Ovis aries: one gene and its partner. The protein of the gene in region 2 purifies or fractionates together with the protein of the main gene of each other region. This does not show direct contact. Links are inferred from orthologs where the notes say so. Each region holds a gene or a part of one and is shown on either strand. Other genes may lie near its edges.

Region 1 (4,801 bases), on a different chromosome or scaffold from region 2:
GTGGCTCGTGTCCAGCCCCACCTGTCGGCCTCCCTGCAGGCAGCTGCCGGGAACTGGAGGCAGCAGCGGACGTGGAGGCGAGGCCAGCCGTGCTGTTGATCTGCCTCATGGTGGGGACGCAGCCTTGAGGTGCCCCACCAAGCTCAGATCCCACTCGGAGCCCCCGCCCCCAGGGGTCGAAGGGCACAGGTCGCATTCGCCTTAAGTCTCATCAGCCAGCCTACAGGGGAGGGGCCGCGCTGGGAGCGCTTCTGTGGAAGGATATCATCCGCGCCGCCTCGGCCTCACCCTCCGCCTGCACGATCTTCTGCCGCTGTTCCTGCTTTGCCTTCTCCACCAGGAACTGTGCGCGCTGGGCCTCCTGCTGGGCTGTGGCGGGAGAGAATCGGGGTCACGGGGACGCGAGGCACCGGGAACACCGTCGCGCCTGCCTGCTTCCTCGGACGCCCTCGCTTGACTCACCCACTTGTTTGGCTTCCACAGCGGCCGTGTACTCGCGGCTGAAGCTCAGCTCGGTGATGGCTACGTCGTCCAAGATGAGGCTGAAGTCCTTGGCCCTCTCGGTCAGCTCCCGTCGGATCAGCAAGGACACCTGGGGGGCGGGGGCGGGGGCGGACGGGAGAGGGGCATTGAGGGGGCCGGAGAACTGAAAGGAAGGCGTGCTGCCGTGACCATGGGAATCCCAGATCTCCAGAACACCGCAGGGGCACACTGAGGCTCTCCGACTTCCTCACTGAGCCTGCAAAGCTGGAGAGGCCTCGGTCACACGGACTCCTAAGCTCCACTCTTTCCAAAACCGTGTGTGCGGGTCTAGACCACGGTTCTCCCTCCCTGCCTGACACTAACCAGGCCTGGCCCTCGTTCCCCACACTGGCCATCAGCACGGCTTTTTGGGTGTATAGGACCTCAGGTTACAGTCCTTTCCTAATGGGCTGGCTTTCCTAAAAGCCCGTCCACGAGGCTTTGGAGGGAAATGCTGATGCTGTGGGAGGGAAGGGGAGCTGGAATCAGACCTGGGCCCGCTGGGTGATCAGCTGGGAGGCGTTGAACTTGGCCACCACGCTCTTGAGCACCTCGTTGACAATGGACGGCAACACTCGCTCCTCGTAGTCCAGCCCCAGGCGCTGGTACATGCTGGGCAGCTCCATGGCATTGGGTCGGGACAGCACCCGCAGGGAGATGTTCACCATCTGCAGGTCTAAGAAAGAGGTCAGCAGTGGCTGGGCGAGGCTACGGGGGCTCACCTGGCCTCTCGGCAAAGCCGCCCTGCCTAGGCATTTTCTCCTGTGCGTGCTTCCCTGGCTACCTAGGGCAATGCCCTGTGGCCCAGAATGGCCTTGGGCGGAGAGTAAGGAGGCTGATGAGAGGTGACTCAGCACAGGCCAAGTGCATACTTGTCCATGGTCAAATCTCCTCTACCCATGGCCTCTCCTCCAGAAAAGCTTTCTTTTATTTTTGACGCTTCACTGTAAGTTGTTACATTGTATGGTTATCGCCAGTCTCCTGAACTAGACAGTAAGGACTGGAGAACAAAGACTGTTTTGTGGATACTTTACTCTTAAGGCCTAGGGTTTTGGGAATTTAAGAAACCTTCACTGAAGATAACGCAAAAAAGTACATTACAGGTGAGCTACTTGCCTCATTGTGTGTGTGTGTGTGTGTGTGTGTGTCTGTGTCTGTGTAAGGTTGATCTGGGGAATCTCAAAGGCACATCTGTGAATGGTGTAGGAGGGAATAGGTGAGACCAAGTTTCCCCAGAACAGAATGTACCAGTAGATTAATAAATCAAACAGTTAAAGAAAGGTTTTAAAGCGAGGCTTTGACCTAGGTAGTGAATAAGACAAAAGACAAACAATGCTCTTATTGAGTTTACACTAGGGGGAGGAACACTTGAAAACGAGCAAATGCACAGCATGTCCAGAATATACTGCTTTAATCCCTGGAGCAGGTGCTTTTATTACACCTTGTTTGCAGAAGTGGAAGCCAAAGCCCAAGAGATCTGACACCACGATCTTCCCCAGTCTCTGACCAGGCTCCCGTGTTTACTGTCAGGGATGTCCCAGTGCCCAGACCTACCTTTGGAGCCTGTGGGGGAGGAAATTTTTCGGGGTCTGGCCCGAATGTCGTAGATGATGGGGTACTGGAACCAGGGGATCCTGGAGGGAAGGGAACAGGGATAGGGGTTAGGAAGCTGCGATTTCACTAGTTCTGCCGTGTTTTCCTTCACCACGTGTTTCTTGACCTGCTCCTCCTCTTAATGACCACGGTCAAGGAGAAACTGTCTTCTCCCTTCAGAAAACAACAGTATGTGCTGCTGGAGATTTGGGCAGCACCACTGTTCGGGGAGATGGGGTGAGAAGGGGAAAAGGCAGCGCTGAATCTCGCTGTCAGTCTTACTACAGGTACTGGTGGGTCGACGTTCAAGGGTGATGGGTCAGGGTCAGTCAGTTCTGCCCGCCATTACCTGAAGTGAAGGCCCTCGGCCAGAATGGTGTCCTGCTGCACGCCTCCGATCCGATTAAAGAAAATGGCTCTGTGCCCTCCTTCCACTGCAGGGAGAGGGGTGGGAGTCAGTCCAGGCCGGGCTCAGAGTACGTGTCAGCTTCTGGTGGGGCGGGGTGAGGGGCTGGGTGAGCGCGGGGCCTCGGTGGGGCTGGGGCTGGGAAGGGGTCCTGGGAAGGGGTCCAGGGAAGGTTGGTGGGAGTCCGGAGAGCGGGCGCAGGTTGCTCACCGGTGAACACCGATTCGCGGATGCCGTAGGCCACGGCCCCGGCCCCCAGCAGTAGCTTCAGCGCCGTGCCCATGCCCCGCGGCCCGGAGGGCAGCCGGCCCGCTAAGTCCTTCAAGTTCTGGGCCATGTTCGGTCCTGAGGCCGGCGGCACCAGTGGTAAGAAGGGGGTGCCGGCCCGTCTCTACCTCGCTCCCGCTTAGGGATGGCACCCTTCACACGAGGGTCCGGGCCCCAGGTGCTCGCGGGAGAAAGGGCACCGGAAGTGCGCTCCTTTCTAAACCCTCCCCGCAGCCAACGGCGGACCGGAACTGGACGCACAGGAAGTATGCATCCGGAAGTCCAGCCCCTTTCTGGAACCCTGCCCTCCCAGAGAGGCTTCGCGAGCGGTAGACCTCGAGCTGTCTCCATTTCCGAGCGCCCACTTTCGAAATGGCAGACGGAAGGAAGCTGGAGATTGGGGCGAGCTCGAGGCCAATTTAAGGACGTTACACAATTTCCGATACGGATGCAAGATGGCTGCGCCCAGTGGTGCATTCCAACCTCGTGAGCGCCGGGCTGCGGAGCAGGAAGAGGACTGGGATGCTGTGGCGCCCAAGCGGCCCCGACTTGGGGCGGGTAGCAAGATCGGAGGCCGTAGGCTCATTGTGGTGCTGGAAGGAGCCAGTCTGGAGACAGTCAAGGTAGACTTGGACTAGGAGATGGAGAGCTAGTGGATCGATAGGATGGGATCCGGTGTGGTGAGGGTGGTGGGCTCAGGGGGTGATGGATGGAGAAAGCAGAGACGGGTGAAACATGCTTTTGGAGGAGTGGCCTAATCGACTGCCTCTTCGTTTAACATCCTGAGTTGGTAGTACTCGTTTTCTTTGCCCTTGAATCTCTGTGCGGCTCACATCCTTGCTTCCGATTGATTTACCAGGATTCTGTGATAATCCTAACCCCAAAGTCGTCTTAGGGGAGAGGTTTCGTCCTTCGTGTCGTTCCTCGGTTCATCCCAAGACAAGTTTACTGGGCAGAGGTAATTACTATAGCTCAGTCAGTCAGTTCAGTCGCTCAGTCGTGTCCGACTCTTTGCGACCCAATGAACCGCAGCACGCCAGGCCTCCCTGTCCATCACCAACTCATGGAGTCCACCCGAACCCATGTCCATTGTGTTGGTGATGTCATCCAACCATCTCATCCTCTGTCATCCCCTTCTCCTCCTGCCCTCAATCTTTCCCAGCATCAGGGTCTTTTCCAATGAGTCAGCTCTTCACATCAGGTGGCCAGAGTTTTGGAGTTTCAGCTTTAACATCAGTCCCTCCAATGAACACCCAGGACTGATCTCCTTTAGTATGGACTGGTTGGATCTCCTAGCAGTCCAAGGGACTCTCAGGAGTCTTCTCCAACACCACAGTTCAAAAGCATCAATTCTTTGGTGCTCAGCTTTCTTTATAGTCCACCTCTCACATCCATACATGAGTACTGGAAAAACCATAGCCTTGACTGGACCGACCTTTGTTGACAAAGTAATGTCTCTGCTTTTCAATATGCTGTCTAGGTTGGTCATAACTTTCTTTCCAAGGAGCAAGCTGCTTTTAATTTCATGGCTGCAGTCATCATCTGCAGTGATTTTGGAGCCCAGAAAAATAAAGTCAGTCGCTGTTTCCACTGTTGCCCCATCTATTTGCCATGAAGTGATGGGACCAGATGCCATGATCTTAGTTTTCTGAAAGTTGAGCTTTAAGCCAACTTTTTCACTCTTCTCTTTCACTTTCATCAAGAGGCCCTTTAGCTCAGTCAGCCCACCCTTTTATTTGTAAGGACTTAGTGTTTAGATTCGTTGAAACATGTCTGTCATTCTCCTTTATTACTACTATACATTTCAAAACACTGCGTGGATCAGGTTATCAGTACATTCACGTCTTTATTTTTACCTATCATTTGGCTCTTCTCCCAAATAAATCTGGAAGTTCCCTCTTAAAACTTTATGCAGTGTTCTCATTCCTTTTGACATTGTTTCTCTTGCCCTTTAGAGCTAAACTTGTTCATTGAGTAGAGCCAGAAGAAATAGCACAAGTTGAGAAGTCAGAC
Region 2 (4,588 bases):
CTCCTATGAGAGTTTTAGTGGGAGAGGACTCCTCTCCCCTGTTATGATCTAAATGTCTTTCTCCTATAATAGTCCAAGTGAGAGATGAGCTCTTTCTCGTGATATGGATGAAGTGTGAAGATGACCCCTCTCTCCCATGGTAGCTTTCATAAGAATGACTCTCTCCTGGGGTGGTCTAAATGTCATGGTGATCCCTCTCGCTTATAATGGCTGAAGTGTAAGATGACTGCTTTCTCTTGAGATACTCTAAGTATGGAAAAGACCCCCTTTTCCCATGATGGTCTAAGTGGGGGATGAACCCCTCTTTCCTGAGATGGTCTAAGTGTGCTGATTGATGAACTCAAAGCTTTGGAGACTCATGTTGAGTGTGTTTGTCATCCCAAAAGAGCAGAGTAAGATCTCTGTTACAGTATCTAATTCCTGAACCAAACTCAACCCACAGATAGCCTTCCAAGGGCTGTTTAGTTCATAGACTGAAACATTCTATTTTGCTTTAAGTATGCTTGAATTTTTTCGTTTTGTCTCCTGAATCCAAAATATTTCTCAATCATCCTGCCCCTAAAAGAGTAGCTGTGGCATAACCAACTATAATCCCCCAAAGCAGGCGCTCTAAGAGGATCCTGAGGGCACAGCTAAGAGCCCAGAGGAGCAACCGATTCACTTGCAGAGCTCAGGGAAGCCTTTGTATGTGAGCTGAGGCTTGGGAGTCTGGAAAGGTAAGCCGTGGCAGGACTAGCATGAGCCCAGGCCAAGGAAAATACAGCTCACAGAATGTACAAGAGAGGATATGGTTTAATGGGGACCGATGAACCCCTGCTGTGAGGGCGCCAGGAAAGAAGGCTGGGGCTAGATTCCAAAGAGCATTCTAAGGAATTCACACTTTACTCTAGAATAACAGTATGGGGATTGAGGAGTGAAAAGCATTTTATAGCAAAAAAATAAAAATCTGGAACAGTGGAAAATGGACTGGAGTGGGAAAGAGAACAGGAAGCCATACCTTCGTGTCTTTGTTTCTGCAGCATTCTCCCTCCAACATACCCTCCTAACAAGCTAATTACAGGGAGGAAGCATTTTATTCATTTTTCTCTTCCCACCGCTCAGTACAGAGGAGGTCTTAATAAATCTTTGCTACACAAGCAAAGAAAAGAAGAAACCCACAGCTTACCCATTCTTCAAGTCCAACTGACTTCAAAAGCCCACCAACTCATACCAGTACCCCCACCCCCAACCCCTGACCTCACATTCACTCCCTCTACTTTGATCTGTTTTCCTGGTTTACTCCTTCCAACCTGCACAATGAATGCTCCGCACCACTGTTATTTAACTGTTTCATGCACTCCCATCTCTTGCTGAGAACGGCCCCTGGGAAAAGAACCCCATTTACTCTTCCCATCAGGCTGAACTCCAGGCTCTGCTCACATTATCTAGCTGCCTCAGCTCCGGGCTTTTTCTTCAAGGACCTAAACTAGGTAACATTGCACTTTAACTTAACAAGATGTAGAGTATCAAAATCCAAACATTAGAAATGCTAGATTCCTCTCCTCTCCCATGCTATCTAAATCTGCTTAACTTACAGCAAAATAATAACAAGAACACGTAAGAGCCTGTCTAGAGTGCAGTCAGGACCTGCTAGATTATGTTACCCGAACATCTGTGACCTTTCATTTGAAGCCTTTGAGAATCTACCCCATCACTCGACTGAATGACAATGGCAATGCAAAAACAGTACTGTGGCTTTAAGAGCCTTGCTGCTCACTTGTGTATCTGGTCCATTTTTTCCCCCCTTCTAACAGTAAACAAATGGTCAAGTTCTGATTCTGCCTACAAGATAAACTTACTAGACAACATTCTAGAAAATTTTGTGATGACAGAGGTTAAAAAAAAAAAAAAGTGATGGTCTGTGCACACACACTCAAACATATGTGAATTCAGATCTTCTAAATACTAACCAAGATGCGTAGAACACCAACAGAATTCTCCATTTAGTAGAAAACCTGCTAACGGCCCTTCCCAGGCTGTACCACAGCAGAGTGTCATGACAAACACTGATAGCTTTTTGGTTGAGAGAGAAAGGTATTCAATTTTCTGTTTTGACTGGGTGGCAACTGAGGAATCATATCCAGGCTTGGGGAAGGCCAGGGGCCCACAGAGCTGCCCTGGTTTCTTCTTGGCCCTTCCTTTCCTCCCTCCTCAAGCATCACTATTACCCCCAAGTACGCTCCTGACCCCCCTGAATTTCCATCCAGACAATTTTGATGGCCCACATTCTTGCCTAATTGAATGTCTTGCGTTTTCTCCGAGGTTGAGTTCTACAATCCAAGTCTGACAATAAACACAAATTTGCTACCTGGAACTTATTTCAGTGCTTGCAGAGTTCACAAATCTAAAATCAAATCTGTCTGAAGGGCAGACAACAATGGAATTGCAAGAGGTAACGCCACCCCACCTGTATGTTATTTTCCATTTACAATAACCACGAAAGCTAATACTTAACAAGCTGGCCTCTATCAGGAAAAAGCAAATAAGCTGTTCCTTCCTGGTTACACTCGCCAAGGTACTTGAGACCGCGGTTGACGGTTCTACTTCCCTCTAGCCCACAGGCGCTTTGGAATCAGGCCGGTGTTTTCCCACCGGCTTGTGATCCGAACTCGGAGATGGGTGACCGTCGTCCGCCGTGCAGGGAACGTGAAGAAAGGGGCCGCCAGGAGGGGAGCTCGGCGGTTCCCCATTAAGGTTTGGGAGAAGATCAAGAGACCAGAAGGTAGGCGGATGGATGTACACGCCCGAATCCAAATTTGCACATCACCCATCAATTCGCCGAGGCAACTCTCGCAATCGCGCGAAAAAGCATCTGTCACAGCTGCTCAGCGAAAGCCCCCTGCCAGCACCCCGCAGAGGGGCCATCACAGCCCTCCCCGGCGCGGCCCTCCGGCGGCGGCGAACAGGACCCGCCGGCAGGTGCCCGGCGCCCCGCTCGGCGCGCTTACCCAGGGCCCAGGTGCAGCTCTCTTTGATGGCTTTGTACTTGCTCCCGGACGCCTCCTTCTGCAGCTTCCTTAGGATCTCTTCCATCTTGACCTCTGCCGCGGGCCAGCAGCCGACGGCTAGGGGAGCGCGCGCGAGGCCCGGCGGGGACGCCGCCGCCACCGCAGCCCGGCCCTGGGCGCCTGGGCGGCCGCTGCGCTCGCCCGGCTCCGGCCCGGCGCGGCGGCGGATGAATCACGCCCGCTCCATGCCGCCGCCGCGTCAGGCCCGGAGCCCCGCCCGCCGCCCCGCCCGCAGGGTCAGGTGCGCCCCGCACGCCGCGACGGAGACGGCGCCTGGGGCGCGGAGGCCGAGACCTGGGGCGGCCCCCGGGGCACAGAGGCTCGCGGAGCGCTGGTGACGGGTGTCCTGGGCCGGCTCGCCGGCGGGGCGTTGGCCGGGCTCGGCCCGAGGGAGCGTCTGGCGGCGGCGGGCAGCGGGCGGGGAGGAGCCTCGTCGTTGCCCCCGCCTCCCCCTCCATCCCGGGCGGGCGGGGTTGGGGCTGCTCGGCTTCGGCTAGAGGAGCCCCCCCCACCTCCGGCGCCTGGTGGCGTTGCGCCGCCCGCGGCATCCCGCGGTCCAGGCTCCTTAGTTCTGGGCCGCCCTCGGTGCCAGGCTCTGGCGCTACCTGTGAACAGACTGATTCTGCCCAACCATGTACTCCACATCATCTCACGTGTGCGTGTGTGGGTCATGGTAGGATTAATATCCCTGTTATTCACCCGTTATACAGGAGGAAATCGGGCCCAGAGAGGTTAAGGTACTTCCCAAACCAACAAAATTTGGACTCTTGAATCCAAACCCTTTAAAAAATTTTCTCCTCCTTCCCTTTCCAATCCTCTATTGACCTGAGTTGTTATCCTCTGAAGGAAAAAAAAAAAAAAAAAAAAAAGGGTGGGGTGACGGCGCACAGGGGATCACGCAGCAGAGAGCTATCCAATTTAGGTGTGTGGGTGGGAGAGGGTGGACAGAGAAAGCTTTGGCGATGAAGAAGCTTCAGGCAGAACTGGGAGCGGACCAGGGTGGCCGGATGGGGGAAGGCAGCCTGAGGCAGAGTCTCAGATCTTAGGAGAGTGCTTCAGTCACTTCAAGCCCTTCACTGATGGAGGCCCTAGGAGGGATGTTGGAGGAAAAGGGGAGGGGAAAGCAGGAGTCTTATTTGGAGTCTCTCCCCCCACCCCCTTGTGAAAGCTGTGATTGGGAACTCAGAAAGGATTCTGGACGCTTTTGTTTTTCTTTAGAAATTTAGCTGTAGTGGTACTGAGGGAGGGAAATTGCAGAGGAGCCGACTGCAGAGAGCCGGACATGACTGAGCGACTAAACTGAACTGAACCGAGACTGGCAGCTAGAAAAGAGTCGAAGATTCTTCAGTGATCTACAAATAAATTAAGCCAAGGGCAGGTGGAAAGGAATAGAGGAAGATATAGCAAGAGATCTTTGAACTGAAGCAGTAGGATTTACTGACTGATTGGCATGGTAATACATGGGATGACTTCGAGGTTTATTATCTGGGAAAATGGGAGGGTAATGGTCCTGTCTTGTAAGTTAAAGAAGAAAGGAAGAG

What was found.
Region 1: the proteins of ARFGEF3 (region 2) and PHB2 purify together in Homo sapiens (affinity purification with western blotting; 4 studies listed by BioGRID). This does not show direct contact. The link is inferred for Ovis aries from reciprocal best matches to the Homo sapiens genes ARFGEF3 and PHB2.

Annotation. Positions count from the first base shown.
Region 1 is NC_056056.1:209,333,690-209,338,490, reverse strand, and holds the start of PHB2 (prohibitin-2), read right to left. Parts: upstream 2,996-4,801; 5' UTR 2,859-2,995; coding exon 2,732-2,858; intron 2,550-2,731; coding exon 2,465-2,549; intron 2,157-2,464; coding exon 2,077-2,156; intron 1,199-2,076; coding exon 1,014-1,198; intron 593-1,013; coding exon 463-592; intron 370-462; coding exon 266-369; intron 220-265; exon of another isoform or gene 1-219. Other genes in the region: EMG1 (ribosomal RNA small subunit methyltransferase NEP1), read left to right, coding at 3,244-3,411.
Region 2 is NC_056061.1:63,245,560-63,250,147, reverse strand, and holds the start of ARFGEF3 (brefeldin A-inhibited guanine nucleotide-exchange protein 3), read right to left. Parts: upstream 3,255-4,588; 5' UTR 3,073-3,254; coding exon 2,988-3,072; intron 1-2,987. UniProt on the Homo sapiens protein: Participates in the regulation of systemic glucose homeostasis, where it negatively regulates insulin granule biogenesis in pancreatic islet beta cells. Also regulates glucagon granule production in pancreatic alpha cells.